3 linked regions of the Schizosaccharomyces pombe genome follow. The protein of the gene in region 2 interacts with the protein of the main gene of each other region in a biochemical or structural test. Each region holds a gene or a part of one and is shown on either strand. Other genes may lie near its edges. The genes, in order: cul1, csn5 and cul3.

Evidence for each region.
Region 1: of the proteins of csn5 (region 2) and cul1, one has a biochemical effect on the other in vitro, tested with the Schizosaccharomyces pombe proteins (one study listed by BioGRID).
Region 3: of the proteins of csn5 (region 2) and cul3, one has a biochemical effect on the other in vitro, tested with the Schizosaccharomyces pombe proteins (one study listed by BioGRID).

What each region holds. Positions count from the first base shown.
Region 1 is NC_003424.3:3,609,496-3,616,078, reverse strand, and holds cul1 (cullin 1), read right to left. Parts: upstream 4,023-6,583; 5' UTR 3,956-4,022; coding exon 3,888-3,955; intron 3,843-3,887; coding exon 3,756-3,842; intron 3,658-3,755; coding exon 3,593-3,657; intron 3,482-3,592; coding exon 3,405-3,481; exon of another isoform or gene 3,203-3,404; coding exon 1,196-3,202; downstream 1-1,195. Other genes in the region: protein slt1, read right to left, coding at 1-453; ghs2 (glucosidase), read left to right, coding at 6,340-6,583. UniProt on the Schizosaccharomyces pombe protein: Core component of multiple cullin-RING-based SCF (SKP1-CUL1-F-box protein) E3 ubiquitin-protein ligase complexes, which mediate the ubiquitination of target proteins.
Region 2 is NC_003424.3:924,394-929,168, reverse strand, and holds csn5 (COP9/signalosome complex protease subunit Csn5), read left to right. Parts: upstream 1-1,542; 5' UTR 1,543-1,597; coding exon 1,598-1,680; intron 1,681-1,722; exon of another isoform or gene 1,723-1,787; coding exon 1,788-2,433; intron 2,434-2,497; coding exon 2,498-2,668; 3' UTR 2,669-2,775; downstream 2,776-4,775. Other genes in the region: SPOM_SPAC1687.23C (uncharacterized protein), read left to right, coding at 1-10; SPOM_SPAC1687.14C (calcium-binding protein), read left to right, coding at 726-956; ubiquinone biosynthesis protein Coq4, read left to right, coding at 2,924-3,047, 3,103-3,207, 3,312-3,666, 3,723-3,957; rRNA methyltransferase Spb1, read right to left, coding at 4,209-4,775.
Region 3 is NC_003424.3:484,639-491,178, reverse strand, and holds cul3 (cullin 3), read left to right. Parts: upstream 1-2,464; 5' UTR 2,465-2,563; coding exon 2,564-2,605; intron 2,606-2,661; coding exon 2,662-4,046; intron 4,047-4,085; coding exon 4,086-4,195; exon of another isoform or gene 4,196-4,247; coding exon 4,248-4,312; exon of another isoform or gene 4,313-4,356; coding exon 4,357-4,530; exon of another isoform or gene 4,531-4,581; coding exon 4,582-4,991; exon of another isoform or gene 4,992-5,047; coding exon 5,048-5,219; 3' UTR 5,220-5,456; downstream 5,457-6,540. Other genes in the region: gup1 (MBOAT family O-acyltransferase), read right to left, coding at 30-200, 248-367, 408-841, 917-1,163; TIM23 translocase complex subunit Tim15, read right to left, coding at 1,829-2,105, 2,150-2,400; hxk1 (hexokinase 1), read left to right, coding at 6,278-6,540. UniProt on the Schizosaccharomyces pombe protein: Probable core component of multiple cullin-RING-based BC3B (BTB-CUL3-BTB) E3 ubiquitin-protein ligase complexes which mediate the ubiquitination and subsequent proteasomal degradation of target proteins.

The sequences.
Region 1 (6,583 bases), 2.7 Mb from region 2:
ATGATGAATAAACATTTGCTGGAAATTATTTGGCACTACAAGCTGCATATTGGGTGAATCGGAGACAAGTATTCTGCGTAGCAACTTTCGAGCCGCCTTTTCCCTGCGATGAGCTCTTTCACGCTCCTCATCCTCAAATCGCTTTCTGATTATAGTCCGTACAACATTTTCAAAAGCTCTACGCTCTTGCAGTTGCTCCAAATAATACTCTTGCAAACGAGCCTCTTGTTCCCGTTCATGCAAGTATTGACGGAATTTTCGATGTTGAATTTGCTGGAGCACTTCTTGCCTTGCATCCTCAATTGCCTTCTTTCGCAAAGCCAATTGTTCTTCTTGGCGTTGAATCACTTCGATTTGTTGATTCAGCTCTTCTAAGGCCATTTGAAGGCTGTGGTCTTGCACATTTTGATATTCATTACCATGTACATCTATAAGATGAAATAAAGTCGCCATTATGCTACGATTCTCTTCCTAGTATTTTTTTTCAGAACGATATGTCAAGGAAGATGGTGTGTTGAAGAAGAATGAGCGAACCGCGATGTTTACTCATTTATGTCATACTATGGTGTTGGCACCGGAATGTACCGGAATCATCCATTTCATCCATGAACACTCCAGCAACACCTGGAAGTAGTAAATCAATAAAAACGTTAAAATTGCCTTAATTAGTCTGATCAATTAATTTTTTTTAATTTGTAAGCACCATTTCGTTCTTCGTGCTGAATAATCAATATATGTCTTTTTTAACAGAATCAAGCGATTTGCAGAGGAAGACGAAGACGACAATTGACAATAAATGTATTATATAAAACATATCTTTGACATCCTTTCACAATTTCAAGCATCTGTACTTCGTGAAATGGTGCATGTATGTGGTCGATAACTGTTTTCTTTTCTTTTTCATTGTACGACTTATCCACGTAAAATGATGGGATAATAGAAGTTTGTTGTTGCTATCCAGTAACTAGTAGTAAAAAAAAGTTGCATAGCTTGCATGTAGCTAAGCTACACATTTCTTCAATGGAGTGGTGACTTTCCTACGTTATTAAAAGCTTAGTTTCAATGGATTAAAGATCACTAGCAGACAAGAATGTAAACAAAAGAAAAAAGAAAATTCGTATTGCGTGATTAATTACATATATAACACTCGAAAAGTATATCATTTTTTTTGGAGCATTTCGCGGAGATGTTTCTCTCAAGCAAGGTAAATGTATTCATCGCGGCCTTGGCGTTCCAGGTACTCTTTTTCGATTAACATATCTATACATTGCTTAATATCAGACACTTTAGGAGTAAATCTGCTTTTAATTTGATCAATAGTCTCTTTCACTAACACTACATGTTTCAATGTTCGGCGAGCCTTCATGATACGGACGATAGCGGATTGAAGCAGTAACTTTCGATCTTCTTCTATAGTTTTATGAGTCTCCAGAGATTCCTGCTTTTGCTCAGATCTAATTGGGAGATTTAACTGTACCCGTATCTTTTTCATCCTAAAATTTTCATTGATCTTATATGTGCTATTAGGATCACCAAGCTTGTCATTGTCGCCAAGGAGAAGCACCTTTGCTTTTAGGAATATGTTCAGAATCCCTGTCAAGAAATCTGTACTTAACCCAGTTATTTTTGCCAGCTCCTCATATGTATAAGAATCGCGATGGTTGTACAAAAGCAAAACACCCATTTGATATGTAGAAACTTGAAACACATAAGTGACATTAGTTTGAGGGTTAATGCGTGCCTTTATTTCTCCTTTAGAGAGATGGAACAACCAGCTTAACTTCCTTCCGTTATGGCAGCTATAGTAATAGTTTTGGAATCCTTCATACAAAGGAACTAATTCCTCTGGCAGATGAAAGTTCACATTGTTGGGAGATAGAGGCCAAAACGATGTACCAAGTACAAGAGCAGAGAAATCTATATTTCCAGCACGTGACTGAGGGAGTTGCCAAAACGCTTCGGTAATCTCTTGAGACAAGGAGATGTCTTGAAACATACGCTGTAGCTTACTAGTATATTCAAAACCGCAGACTTCCTTTAACTTAGATAGCATGCTAGATTCAGCATCCTGGGAATTAGAGGTACCATTCACAAGTCGCTTGGCTAAAAGCTTAGTATAAAAGTTTTGAAAAACATCCTTGTCTTCGACATAACGAAAAATAATGATAATCGACGATAAACAGTCTTCAACATCATCAATGTCAACATTCTTGTTGCTTTTTCGCAAAATACTGTCGGCGTATTTAGCAAGCAACTCTGGGGAGCGAGAGGAAGAGCGCTGGCAAACAACATTTCGATTGACAAGTTCTCTAAAGGCTGTATCCAATGACTTTGTAAAATCAGTATCCCCATGAAATGCGGTGTTAACAAGTTCTTTGGAAGCTTTATACGTGGAAAGTAACATTTCCATATACTCTTTAGGATCCACATCGGCTTCTCCACCGACCTGGGGAACAATTTTGGCAACCGCAGCAAAGCCTGATCTCTTGACAAACTCCTCAAATGTCTGGCGTAAAGGCTGCAACCCATTAGGTGTTCGAGACATCAATCGGTACATGCGAATGATATCCTCACTGCAGTTTTGGTCGAGCATGCGTGCAAAGTCGTTGTGCAAAACTTCTTCATGTTGTGCAATTAGTACATCTTCAGTCGCTTCTAAAAGCGGCTTCAATGTGGATTCATGCAAATATAATCTCACAAGCTCTTCCTCCTCTGCTAGTCTTATTTCTGCCTTTTTTAAGTAATCCGTAATAGAATGGGAAGCCAAGTATTCGGAAGACTCCTTTGCATAAAAGTTTTTTGTATTTTCAATAAAGTTTGTTTCGAAAAAAGTTTTGTATGAGCTCAAGTTAGGCTTTGTCATATCGGTTTTATCAAAGCTCAATGAAGTGATAGAATCCACACAAACTTCCACATATTTCATATCAGTAGGTTCATATAATCTTTTTTTGGTGAACATGTATAACAAATTTTGAAGTAGGCTATCGCGAATGTGGGAAAAAACGTGATGATGCCATGACACAAGACAAAGTGTGTAAATGTCGTACACGAGTGTCTCAGTAAATCTGTTCTTCAGTTTAACCCAATATCTATTTAAATATCCAAAAAGATGGTTGATAAAACGGGCAGATGTTGTAAATCGCGTCCAATACTTGGCATACGCAGCGAGTTGCTCTTCATGATTCGTTTGCGAAATGCATTCCTAAAGCGCCAATTAGCACGAGAAAAATTACCACATAATGCAATTTATTCCTTAATCATAATAAAAGACCAGATGCTTATGCTAGCACTCTTTAAAATGTCCAGAGAAAATGTTTAGAAATTAAAGAAAACTGCTGAACACTCGAGGTGCAATGAAATCTTTGTCGTAGAATTATAAATAAAAAACCGATATTTAAACTCACCTTTCGCAGACGGGCCAAATACTCTTCCAGATATAGAACCAAATTATTGTAAAGGGCTTCGCCTAAAACGTTTGCAGCTAGCACATACAGTTAGAATCCAGTGAAAATAATCATAAGAAAATATATGTAGTTCTTCTTTTTGACAAATTCTGAGTCAAAATATAAATTTTTATCTATTTTTTACGTACTTTGATCGTTGAAATTGTCCACCGTTATAGTTTTGGACGCATCAGCACAGTAGTTATGGATTGCTCTAAAAATAAAGTATGTAAGTATATAAATATAGGTGCCATGAAATATCTGATAACTAATATACTAGTATTCAGATCTCAAAATATTGGACTAACTTACGTATAAAGCTCCATATACTTAGTGATAGTCATTCCTTCATCTAGCCTTTCAAATATTTGGGACACACCTGTTTTTAAAAAGTCCCAACTGCATATAGATCAGCAATCGTCAATCAGTTACAATGTAACATACGTTCCATTCAATGAATCATATTTTTTAACAATCGGGAGGTCTTTATCGTTGGTATTCAAAGTAGTCATTAACCAAAATGGTTATAAATGTATAACAAGTAAAATATATTTTATTCAGCACACAATTGCTCTTTCTTAGATGGCAGATAGAGTAAACGTAGTAAATAGTAGCACTGATCCTTTCAAGAACCTACAGGTAACGACGAAGTGAACGAAGGTACAAGAGGTAGCCAGGTGTACGTAGCAAAAGCTCATTATAAAAGTGCTTTATAAGATTATATTTAATATCTAATTTTTTTTTAAGTAAATAATTATTATATTAAAAAATTCTTCATTAACGCATTTATTATTATGAAAACAAAGACATAAAGCCAATATTTATCAACATATACATGAATATGCCAAAGAAATCCTTTAAATTTGAGTTATTGTTCTGCCAAAAGAATGATGTATGCGATCCGCTGGATATTGAGTGCTCGATGCAAATACACATATGGTGTAAAAGATATCTCTGACAAGTGTATAGTAATATTGTACTAAATGAAAATCTCAAACCCATGAAATATTTACAAATGTTGAAAAGGGTTTAATTTGGACCTCAAATAGGTTGACATTTTCAATGTGGCCAACATAACAGGATGCTCTTTCATAGATGTTGTAAAACAGAAATACTTTTCCTTCTCTTTCTCAAACGCGCTACAAATTACCTCTTCATACCATCTTTTGAGCACCGCCATCTATTGTTTACCATCAGAGCCTCATCCTCAAACAATTCTGAGTGCCGTTAACGGTAGCCAATTCCTAAGTAAAATTGTCGCAAAATGTTGATGCATCAAAAGCGGCCTCAAATTGAACTTTTTATCATTTACCTACTAAAATAAAAGTAATAGAATGCGCTTGGATACGCACGTTTGGAGTCTGCTTTCTATATTCACTTAGGAACAGACGAATTATTATTAATTCTGAATAAGACCAAAAATTATTCTCAATTTCATAACTAATTAGCTTCCTCCTTTATCACTTAAACTTGCTTGCTTTATTTTTTTTATTTTTTTTTACAATTTAGGTGTTTTTATATTCGTAGAATGGCAATAATGAGTTGAAAACATTCCATTCTTCGCTAACCACCTTTCCCCCTTTAACGCGTGGCCAGCATTGTTCTACTTTGCTCACTTGACTATTTACTTACATATTTTTTTGTTTAGTATTCCAATACAATCAAAATATCTGTAATTTGTTGAGATTCTTTCTAAAAAACAAACATAATATCTGTTTCTCTCTTTTATTTGCTATTATATCCCATTTTCTCCGTTTTTATGAACCTTGAACCTTCAAGTTTCTATGTAATTATTCAATTTCAACATAAGAAACTCTGCAAAAAAGCTATTTACATCACTGCTTCGTCTTTTGAATTCCAAAATTTTTTCTAGAAACTATCCGCTCATCTTTTCTTTGCAATCCATCATCAATTTCCACACTAATAGTCAAGAGTGTTTATATACTGTGATATTAAGAGATATATTTTAAAGTAGTAATCCATAGTCATTATACAATCTTCTTATTATTTTAGGCCTTTCTTCTTTCTTTTGATTTCTCTCTCCATAATTTTATCTTAATCGACTTTTTCTCAGTTATCTTATTGGGGGAGGATAACTAACCTTTGTCTCCAGTATTTACTTAAAATTTCGTTATAAATAAGCTAGTTCAGCTTGTGCTATTCAAACCGCTGTCTTTCTGCTTTCCTGTTTTTTTCTGTAAACAAATCCTCTTTTTTCTCAAAAAAAAAAAAAAAAAAAGAAAATACTTGTTTTATGAACTGACCAAACTTTATTTCAAAAAAGTTACTTGGACTTTTAAGTCATTAATTTGGCTTTTGTTTTTAATTTTTTTTTCAACACTTGGAAGGTTAACTATCCATTTTAAAATCCTGTTCCTTTTATTAATCTGTAAAAAGAATACCTAGTTGTTCTTTCATTCAAGTCTTTTTAAACTTCCGCCGACTTTGCCTCGCTATTGTCCGCAAACAACCATTTGGAGTTTGCCTAGTCCTATATACTACCTTTCCGTATTTCCACCTTGGTGAGGTACACCAGCGTTCCAAAATCGCTACAAGTATTCATTCTTTTGTATTTATTTTTTAAATACTTTGTGCGTTTACGCGAAAAGTGCTTTCGAGCACTTTACAAGAAAAAGGAAAATTTTCAAGTGAATTAGCTTTCGTTCTCGAGATTGAGGCTCATCATCTTTTTCCTTTAGATTCTTTTTGTTTTTTGTTTAACGTTTTTTTTTTTTTTTTACTTGCTGGAAGTATTTTGAAGACTATTTGCTGTCACAACTCAGCGAAGACTTTTTGTGGTTACGTGTCTAAGCGCGAAATCTTCTTTAACTAAGCTTTCTTTTCATTCATTTTTGTTCTTCTTTCTTGGGATTTAACTGGTTTCGTTGGATTTATCATGTATAATGTACGTGGCGATTTAAATCGCAAAACCCCTTCGGATGGTAACGTGAATGAGATTGGTTCTATGTACGCTTCGAGAGACACCAGTACTTCTTCTTTCACAAATCCCACCGATTCCTCTACTCGTCTGTTGTACAACAATGCCTCCAACGCTACATTTAGCAGTGCAGCCTTGGCAGCCGGTGTCGGCGGAACAAGAGCTAGTGGCTATACCCATAGATTCTCTATTAGACCCAGCT
Region 2 (4,775 bases):
TAAAAAATGAATGTGTATAAATAATGTCAAACATTCATATATAATATATAACACGAGTATTAGTATGCCACACCGCTAAAGGAGATTATGCTTGATAGCCTACATCATTAAAGCCATTTTGCAAGTCGATCTATTAACTCATCAAAAATCTTGTATTACGTGTTTTGTTATTTAAATATTGCGCACAACCTTAGCTTCGGTCAATTTATTATATTAGCTAATAACGCCTTAGTAGGTTGGCTTGGCACGTAAATAAAGTCAATTGAACACATTTTATACATAAATTTTGAGATTTCCAACTGTCTCTTCAATATCCTTGTTGATTTGGCAGTTTTAGAAAAAAAAATTCAGCTTAACGTTTTTATACCATATATTCATTAAGGTCAAGTTTCGTCCACTTTATCGCACCACGAAATTTCCATTTGTACCACCTTCAAATTGCATCAAATAGCCTGATTACTTAGTATTTAAACGCAGTTATTCCACTTTTGATTGTCTATCTGTTCATATTATTCCTCCTTGTCTTTTCGTTTGGATTTTTAACTCACTTCTAGTCTTTTTTTGATAACTGTTGAACAAATTATATCTCTTCTAGCCATCGGACGCTGATTTTCATTCCTTTCTTTTTTTTTACTGTTATTTCGTTCATTTTAGCATTTTTGGCACTATCTCATTTGTTTGCATTTGCGTTTCCTTGTTGAATAGTTTTTTAGTTTAGGGGAACCATGTCTGTCAGTACTAAACGTCTTGAAATGGATGAAGAAGCAGAAGAGGCTTTTGATCTTTTTGACGTGACACACAAAGGGTACATTGACTTTGAAGACCTTCGAAGATCTTGCGCTCAACTAGGGGAAAATTTGACTAAAGAACAGCTTCAGTTGATGCTCGATTTAGCTGGCACTAATGGTAAAGTATCGCGTGAAGAATTTGCCGAATTGTGGATTCATATATCTTGAGATTGTTTATCAATGGAGACAAACTTCATTTTATTTATGGGATTCATTCTCGCACTTTAATGACTTAATGATGATGGACTTAGTGTACTAAAAAAGATTAAACAATATTTCCTCGTGTTTTCTTTTTGTTTTCAAGCCATAGATGCCTGTTTTATATACTTGGTTGTAGGTTACAATTGATGCTAAAGATAAGTGTCACAGCCTGCTTGAACAACAATACTAGAATCTACATTCTTTCGTAAACCTTGATTTATTGATTTTTAGCATCTTCGTGTGTCTCTTTCATGATATATGTTACAAGGGATTGGCGATTGTGTAAATTCAGTGAATAGGATTTCAATGAACTAATACTATATTGTCTGTTTTCATTCATAGTAAAACAAGTTCTCAAAGATACCAGTTACCAAGCAAAATATATTGTCTTTTCGAAATTCAATAAACATACATTTTACAGGCTAGAATTCATGTTTTAAAATGCTTTTAATCAACTAATATGCTTAAGTAAATAAACGAAATTTTTATCTAAAAATATGTCTTTATAGCGAGTTTTACTTGTACTCGAAAAGTTCTCCAACATTTTTTCGTCACATACCACAAATGATTCATTTTCTGTATTTAATGACTACAATTACAAAATTGCAATGAATAATCAACTCGAAAATGTTTTTAGATTTGATGAAGAAAAAGAGAGGGCTAAAATTCGTGAATCGCCGTGGAAACATGAGTAAGTTAAGATTTCATTGGTTTTTAGCTATATTATACCAGTCTCTGAATTTTTTTCCCTACGTTAATTTATTAAAATTATAAATCCTGTAATGCTAACAATAACAGCCCAGAGTTTTTCCGTTCTGTCAAAATCTCAGCAGTAGCTTTGTTGAAAATGTTACGGCATGTATCTCAAGGCATGCCATTAGAGGTAATGGGCTATGTTCAGGGGAAGGTTGAAGGGGCCTCCTTGATTATTTTAGATTCTTTTGCGTTACCAGTTGAAGGTACTGAGACTCGTGTCAATGCACATGAAGAAGCACAAGAATACAGTGTACAATATCATACTCTTTGCAAGTCTGTTTACAGACATGAAAATGTCATAGGATGGTACCATTCACATCCTAACTATGGTTGCTGGCTTTCAGGTGTAGATGTTGAAACTCAGCGCCAAAATCAAAAATATCAGGATCCATTTGTTGCCGTTGTGTTGGACCCGAAGCGATCCTTGGAATCTCCATATGTAAACATTGGAGCATTTCGAACCTATCCTGTCGGTAATGATGGCTCTATCCGCACAAAATCTCGTCATCACCCGTCTGTCTTATTTAAAAATTTACCTTCTTCCAAAATCGAAGATGCCGGAGCCCACGCAGAAGCGTACTACAGTCTCCCTATAACTTACTTTCATTCCAAAGCTGAAAAAAAGGTTACGGAGTTTTTAAGGAATAGAAACTGGTCTAGGTCAATCACCGAGTGTTCTATTTTACAAGTAAGATTCATATTCTAATAAAGTTTCTTAACGAGTCTGCAAGTTTTTCTAACAAGCAATATAGAACAATGAATTTTTACATGACAGCGAAAAATTAATCGATCATCTTATTCATGAAACAGGGAATAATGAATTACCTGTTGCATCTGCCTACGAACAATCCAAAGCTTGTTGTAACGAATTATCTACTTTTCTGTCTCAAATTGATGTCCAAGATAAATTATTTAAAGAATGAATAAATCAACGATTCACTAATATCAGGAAACATGAGATATATAAACGTCGAATCTACTAAGTAATACAGTACAGTTTATTAATGAAAGTCATATTAATATATTTCAGTTAGTTTTTTTTTTATTACCCGTAATCTTTTTTTTTTTATTGAGTAAACATATTCGACTTTTGTAACGCCAAATTCGTAAATCTATTATATCGATGACACACCACTTTAAAAAGTATCAGCAATACTGAACTTCACATATCAGTATGTATGTTTTATCTTAATGCTCATCTTGAAATTAATAAGGTCGTAGACGTTGTAATGTCACTTTCAAAGAAGTTTTTAAAGCCTTCAGTTGCTTCCAACCAACTTCGTTTGCTTTTTACAGCAGCTGGTAAGAAATGTTTAGCTCAGCTAATGCATAAATGAGATTTTACTAAAGAAATTAGAGAGGAAGGTTAATTATCCAGGACATGTTCCTTTATCACCGCTGCAACGTATTTTTTTGGTTGCAGGATCAGCAATCATGGGATTGAAGGCACCATGGAGAGGCGGTATGAAATTTAGGTAGTAAAAACACTTCGGCAAATTCTTTTGACCTTTGCTACAGAAGTTGGTGAAAAGCTATATTTACTTTTTCTGGATTTACTAATGCTAGGAGATATGATATCTGTCCTAGGAGATGCATCTGGTCAACCATTCTTCCTTCATCGATTACTGAATAAAATGCTCGTTGATAAAACAGGTCGTGAAATTTTGAAAGATAAACCTAGAATGACATCGAAGTCTTTAAACTTACCATTTTTGCGGACCCTTCCGCCAAATACCCTAGGTAAAATTTATGTTGACTGGATAGACAAAGAGCATGTTGGACCCGATACTCGAAGCCCTACCCGTTTTGTAGATGACCCAGAGGAGGCATATGTTATGCAAAGATATCGTGAATCTCACGATTTTTACCATGCTATATGTAACATGCCTACAAACATTGAAGGAGAATTAGCTATTAAATGGTATAGATATACTTTACTTTATTTCTAACTTCATGGTTTGTATACTAACAATTTAGGCTGGAATTTGTTAACATGGGTTTACCAGTTGGAGCTCTCTCTGCTTTATTTGGTCCTCTACGCTTAAATTGTGAACAGGCTTCAAGGTTTCGTCGGGTATACATTCCATGGTCGATTCGTAATGGTTTGAATGCAAAAACATTGATCAATGTCTATTGGGAAAAGGAACTGACGAACGACATTGAGGACGTCCGTAGACGAATACGAATTGAGGCTGCTCCTCCGCTGGTTTAGACCTGTAATTCAAATTTCTTCCATTTACTCAATCGAAATATTCGAAAAGAACTGCATATAAATAGTTAATTAATAATGTTTATATATGTAGCAGTTTAACTCTTGCAAAACATATCCATGCTGTTACTCCCAAATCTAATACTAAATAAGAATACTATTAATCCACTAAAACCCAAACTCTAACCTAGATATAATTATTTTAAGCCTAAATTCCACGAAAAACTGTTAATGAAATTAAACAGTCAAGTATTTTAACGACGACCCTTTTTAGCTAGTCTTTTTTGTGCGCGCAAATCCTTTTTCATTCGACTGTCAACCATTTTATACTTTCCTTTAACACCCTTAGGACGAGATTTAAGGCCTTTATTAGGACCCTTTGCAACAACTAACGTAGGCTTTGCTTTAGGCTTCGATTTAGTAGCACGGCTTACGAGTCGCGATATTTCTTTAGCTTTTTCACTTTCAGTCATATCACCGCTTTCTGAAATTCCTTCAGCTTTTTTAGCGACACGTTGCAGACGCTTAATAGTACGCATCTTTTTACGACCTTGTGCCTCAAGAACTTTTTTGATAGGACGAGCATTAAGAGCCTTCATTTTTTCCCGCAAAGCCAAAACGGCTTCTTTGGTGATTGGCTTGTTGGGTTTATTGACGGTTGTTTCTTCATCCAAAAACCAATCTGGAAGACCTTCTTTAGATTGAAACGACCATCGATTATAACCTTCATCAATCAAATCAGCCTTAGACTTTCTCCTAGAAGCAATATCCTGAGCTAGTGTCATTGCCTCGGCAGTAACAATTTCAACGTTGTTTTCATC
Region 3 (6,540 bases), 440 kb from region 2:
TTAGCAGAAAATTTAATTAAACAATTTACCTGGGACATAAAATTGTTGAACGAAATGATAGGGCCCGCTAAATATAAAGGGGCATAAAAAATGTATGTCAAAAAATTCTTAAGATTATAATCTTCATCAAGACAAGAATAATCAACCCTTTCACGAAACGTCAATGTTGTTGGCTCACGATCTTTGTCAAATATTAGAGTCTAATGGTTATTATTTATAAACTCAAAAGGCATGTGCTCAAACTTACGTTAAGTTTTTCAGAGTTGTGCTTTAAGGACCAGTAATAATCCATATTAAATGACACGAGCCGAAGCATGGTAATGTTAAAAAGAACATACCAGCGCTCAAGAATCCCAGTATATTGATCCTGTAAAAAGATTAACATCTGATGGCTAAAGATAGCGTACCAAAAACCCTAGGCCTGGATGAAGGCTAGAAAATTTGCAATAGGCAAAATATTCTTTAAAAAACACCACTGATATATCTAATGTCCATGTCAAGAGTGGATTAAAAATACTGTTCTTTAGAGACTTAGAAATGAGATAATTGATCAATGCAATTGTTAAAACATATATAACGCCAGTCCCGTAGACAAGTAATGCAAACAGCAGGGAGAAGCAAAGTCGATAGTTGTTTTTTATAGCGAGTTCATCATTAGTATTTTTTGTGAAGACAAGCTTAACGAGTCTCCAGAGAAAATTATAGACAATAATTACAAGTAGTAAGATTGGCATATTTTCACGAAACGCGGAATACTGAAAATCAGCGGAATCGACTTTTTGTCCAAACAACCACCCAGGCTTTAAATATTTTTCAATGTTTTTGTAATTGGGATGTTTTGCTGACGCCTAGTTAGTTGCTTACTTTATTTCAAATTGATAAATAGAAAAGGCTGATTAAAGCTTTTGACACTTACGAGAACTAACATAATGAATTTTAAAACAAGCAATTGTTAGAATCGATAGAATGACAGAAAAGTAAAAAATAAATTCTATGGAACCAAAAGCGCTCTTTTCCGGAACTGCGCTTCGAACGGTCAAACGTGAAGATGAAGATGGATGACTTGAACCAGAAGTCGAACTTAACCGTGAACTTTTAGAATTGGGTCTTTCAGTATCTTTGGTCGAAGTCTCAAGAACATCAAATCGAAATAAACGTAACATCCTAGAAGTCTCCTACCAACAGCAAAGAAGATGGTCGGTTCTCAAAATATCATAGAGTAAACAAACCTAGTGGTGTTCACTAGCAAAATGCAAGACACTGCGTAATTTACACTTTGTGTCAGCTTCATAGTCCGTAAATAATTTTAAGAGTAAGGTAGAGAGAGTATGATGAAATCAATTATATTTTTAAAAATAATAAATTCAGTTTGTATTGTTTATTGGAATGAATAAAATAGTCAGCACTATACAAAACGCGCTATTAAAATAGAAATATTAATTAAGCATCTTTAAAGACTAAATTTTGATTTTGGTAAATTAGCAACTTATATATTGAAAAATGTTTTACATTCGTTTGCAATAATTCTGTATAGCCCATTTAGATCTCTAAAATCGTTAATTTTTATAATTAATTAATTAATTTATTTTTTTTTGGATATGATTTGCTCAATGATTGCTAAATTATCACATCTAGTCTAAAAATTCAAAAGATAATTTCAAGTTAACAAGCTCATATAATAATTAAATGTTCTATTAGAACGTCGTATATATTGACCAAAGTATTACAAAAATAAATAAAAATAATATATACTATAGAAATTAAAATAAACAATGACTATATCTTGCAATTTATATGCTCCTAAACCCAATTTGATCGCTCTCCTAGTTCATTTGGAAGAATTGGAAGAAGATGATTTTGCTGGTCGAATTTTAAATTGAGGGGGCTTAAATTCTACAACATTGCCATTGATTACTTGACCATAGCCTTTTTTAAAAGTTTCCCCTTTCTTAGCTAAAATGTCTTCAATCGTCACCCGTTCTTCAGAGAATATTTTTAAATGATCAGCCATCAAGTGCCGATTTTTGCACTTAGGACATTGAACTAAAACGGTCCCATTATGGTAGGCCTGCTTGGAGAAATTGTGATTTGACCTAGTGTTACATCTTTCATTTGGTTAGTATCCTTCAATGAAATTATAAATACTTACACGGTACAAGTAAAAGAAACATTATAAGTCGGTTTAGGTTGTAATTGATCAGCATCTGATTTTACAGAGGGAACACCACTTGCAAGATCTTTAGCATCGCTTTGAGTGAAGCGTTTGCATTGCCAATTAGAAATGTTTCTCACATTCGGGGAACAGAAAAGTAAACTTGAAACCTTTACCTTGTTTGAAAAATTTTTTAACTGCAAATTTCGTAAACAGAATTTTTGAGTATACCGTGCAAAGCTCCACATTATGTTTGAAAAATTTTTGTGTTCGGAGAATGTTGTTCGTAGTTAGTACCTTCTACCACCTTTTGTACCATTACTTCCGTCTGTGCTGGCGTTTCTTTATGCAAACTCATATGCCCATATATTTAGCTTTTTTGTTGAAACTTAACTTTAAATTCCATTATTAATGCAGCGGTCAGCGAAGTTAAAAATTCGAGCGCCACGAAAAGTAAGTGTACCTGATGCATGCTGTCCTTATTATTTTCCTCACATACTGACATTTAGTTTTCTGCTAACCAAGTAGACTTTGCTACACATTGGGAAGTCTTGCAGCGAGCTATTGGGGATATATTTCAGAAAAGCACATCTCAATTATCGTTTGAAGAGTTGTATAGAAATGCATATATACTTGTTCTACATAAGTATGGAGAAAAGCTTTATAATCATGTACAGGATGTTATTAGATCGAGGCTTAAAGAAGAAACTGTTCCAGCTATTTACAAAAACTATGACGCTTCCTTATTAGGGAATGCTCTATTGGATATTAGAAAAAATGATTCCTATTCTACTTCATGGTCGAGATCATTGGAAGCGGCTCATAGATTTTTATCGTCTTTAGTTAATTCCTGGAAGGATCACATTGTTTCAATGCAAATGATATCTAGTGTATTAAAATATTTGGACAAGGTTTATTCAAAATCTGCAGACAAAGTTCCTGTTAATGAAAACGGAATATATATCTTTCGTGAAGTTGTTTTGTTAAATAGTTTTGAAATTGGAGAGAAATGTGTCGAAACTATTCTAATTCTGGTTTATCTTGAACGTAAAGGGAATACAATAAATCGACCCTTAATAAATGACTGCTTAGATATGCTAAACTCTTTGCCTTCAGAAAACAAAAAGGAAACTCTTTATGATGTTTTATTTGCTCCAAAGTTTTTATCTTACACAAGAAATTTCTATGAAATAGAATCATCAACAGTCATCGGCGTATTTGGAGTTGTGGAGTATCTGAAAAAAGCAGAGAAAAGATTTGAGGAAGAAAAGGAGAGGTCCAAGAATTACCTGTTCACAAAAATAGCTAGCCCCCTTCTATCCGTTGTTGAAGATGAGCTTTTGAGTAAACATTTGGACGATTTGCTTGAAAATCAATCAACTGGCTTTTTCTCGATGATCGACTCTTCAAACTTCGAGGGTCTTCAATTGGTTTACGAAAGCTTTTCTAGAGTGGAACTTGGCGTGAAGTCTTTAAAAAAATACTTGGCGAAATATGTAGCGCATCATGGAAAATTAATCAATGAAACTACTAGCCAAGCGCTTGAAGGAAAGATGGCTGTTGGTCGTCTATCATCTAATGCTACAATGGCAACATTATGGGTTCAAAAAGTTTTGGCCTTATGGGATAGACTAAATACAATTATAAGTACTACTATGGATGCTGATCGGTCTATCTTGAACTCTTTATCAGATGCTTTTGTTACGTTCGTAGACGGATATACCCGAGCCCCCGAGTACATTTCACTATTCATTGATGACAATCTGAAAAAAGATGCTAGAAAAGCAATAGAAGGCTCTATTGAAGCAACACTTCAAAATTCTGTTACGTTATTTCGGTTTATTTCAGAAAAAGATGTTTTTGAAAAATATTACAAAACACACCTTGCAAAAAGGTATGCTTTAATTGTTTTTACTGTCTTTAACACTTTTAGGTTGTTGAATAATCGATCAATATCTTCCGATGCAGAGCTCGGAATGATCAGTAGGCTGAAACAAGAAGCTGGTAATGTTTTTACTCAAAAGCTCGAAGGAATGTTTAATGGTAAGTATTCAGACTTTAGCAAGTTTTTTTGCGTTCCCTTATTAATGCTTAGATATGAATCTTTCACAAGAATTGTTACAGGAGTACAAACATAATTCTGCGTTACAGTCGGCCAAGGTTAGTGGAAATTTTTATTGATAATCCTTTATACTAACAGTTAGCCTGCTTTGGACTTAAACGTTTCAATTTTGGCTTCTACATTTTGGCCCATCGATTTATCGCCTCACAAAATTAAATGTAACTTTCCGAAAGTTCTCCTGGCTCAGATAGATCAATTTACGGATTTTTATTTATCGAAACATACGGGGAGAAAATTATTGTGGTATCCTTCTATGGTATAGTAAACTTTTATTTGCTTGTTGCGTCACACTAACAATCCTATTTAGGGAAGTGCTGATGTCCGTGTTAATTTCAAAGACAGAAAATATGACTTGAATGTATCGACTATTGCATCTGTTATTCTATTGCTTTTCCAAGACCTAAAAGAAAATCAGTGTTTAATTTTTGAGGAGATTTTGGAAAAAACCAATATAGAAGTTGGGGATTTGAAGCGCAATCTTCAGTCCCTTGCTTGTGCAAAATACAAGATTTTGCTAAAGGATCCAAAAGGAAGGGAGGTGAATGCAGGTGACAAGTTTTATTTCAATGAGAACTTTGTTTCAAATCTCGCCCGGATTAAAATATCGACAGTTGCTCAGACTCGTGTTGAGGATGATAGTGAGAGAAAACGTACATTAGAGAAGGTAGACGAGTCAAGGAAGCATCAAGCAGATGCCTGTATTGTTAGAGTGATGAAGTATGTCTTTTTCCTTTTTTTTTTTTTTCAAACATTTTTACTAACAGTAAATTAAGGGATCGCAAAGTGTGCGAACACAATCAGCTGATGGCAGAGGTTACAAGACAGTTAAACCCTCGTTTCCACCCTAGTCCGATGATGATTAAGCGACGAATTGAAGCTTTAATAGAGCGGGAGTACCTACAAAGACAAGCCGATAATGGTCGCATTTATGAATATTTAGCATAGCAGCCTTAACTGTTACACGAAATGCAATATTCGTATACGAGAAATCATGTTTAAATGGAAAGATACCAATTTGTTCAAGATGATATCTAGCAAAAGCTTTGTGATTATAATGACACTCATGAATTTTACACCAACTTCCTTTTTATTTTTGAAAAAAAGAAAATTTTAAGTAATGCTATAAGAAGGTTTGAAAACAGGTAGATTATATTCCAAATCAATCAAAATTTGATACATTAATTCTGCGAGCAGATAGTAGAGTAATGAGTTTAAATTACATTGTTCCATATACATTGTACAAAAAGACCAAAACAGAAAAACCCTCAGTTTAAAATAGATTAAGGTATTTGATCAACGATAGATGGGAAGTGTTAACCTAAAAAATTATTATGGGAGGAAGCGAATTCGCCGTAAATACACTATCCTACACAGTATGCTTTTGATGATGACTCTACTAATAACATCGAAAATACCAGAGCAAGTAAAGCTCCTTATAATCTTTAAGGTGTTAATCAAATAATAAAGCTATGTATTTGATTTAGTATTGAAACACCTGGTTGTTTACATTAAGAATATTCTTCTTTCCTAACGGACTACGCTATCCTCTTTAGCAATCTCGGAAGAACCCCTAAAAATATCTACCGTTCAATGCTATTCTGTATATTCTCCGCTTAATTCTATTTGTTTAGGAAATTGTATAAATAACCTCAAATATCTTAACGAACCCCACTTGTTCGCCAATTTCATTTAATTGGTTCCGCGTACCACACTTCCTTTTAACCACCAAACACTTTTAAGTATCCGCAAGGTTGCCAAAGGTTGATTACAATCTCTTACTTTAAGCTAAGATACAAAGCTCTTTTTGATATCCTACTCGTCTTGCAGAGAACCTACATATTCTCTTTTTGTGACTAAACGTGTCTTGAACTCTTTAAAATAAGTGGCCTTTGCTTTTGAAATTTTAAAGATCTTTTTCTTTTCCTACGTAACTCCAAGTGTCAAGGAATTGCCATCTTTTCACTTCTTCCTTTCTTTTGTGTATCACTACTGAAGTTATCAAAATGTCCTTGCACGACGCTTACCATTGGCCTTCTCGTACACCTAGTCGTAAGGGTTCAAATATCAAATTGAACAAAACTTTACAAGATCATTTGGATGAACTGGAAGAACAATTCACCATTCCCACTGAACTTTTACATCGCGTTACCGATCGCTTTGTTTCTGAGCTTTACAAGGGCTTAACCACGAACCCGGGTGATGTTCCAATGGTCCCCACATGGATCATTGGTACTCCTGATGGCAATGAGCATGGCTCTTATTTGGC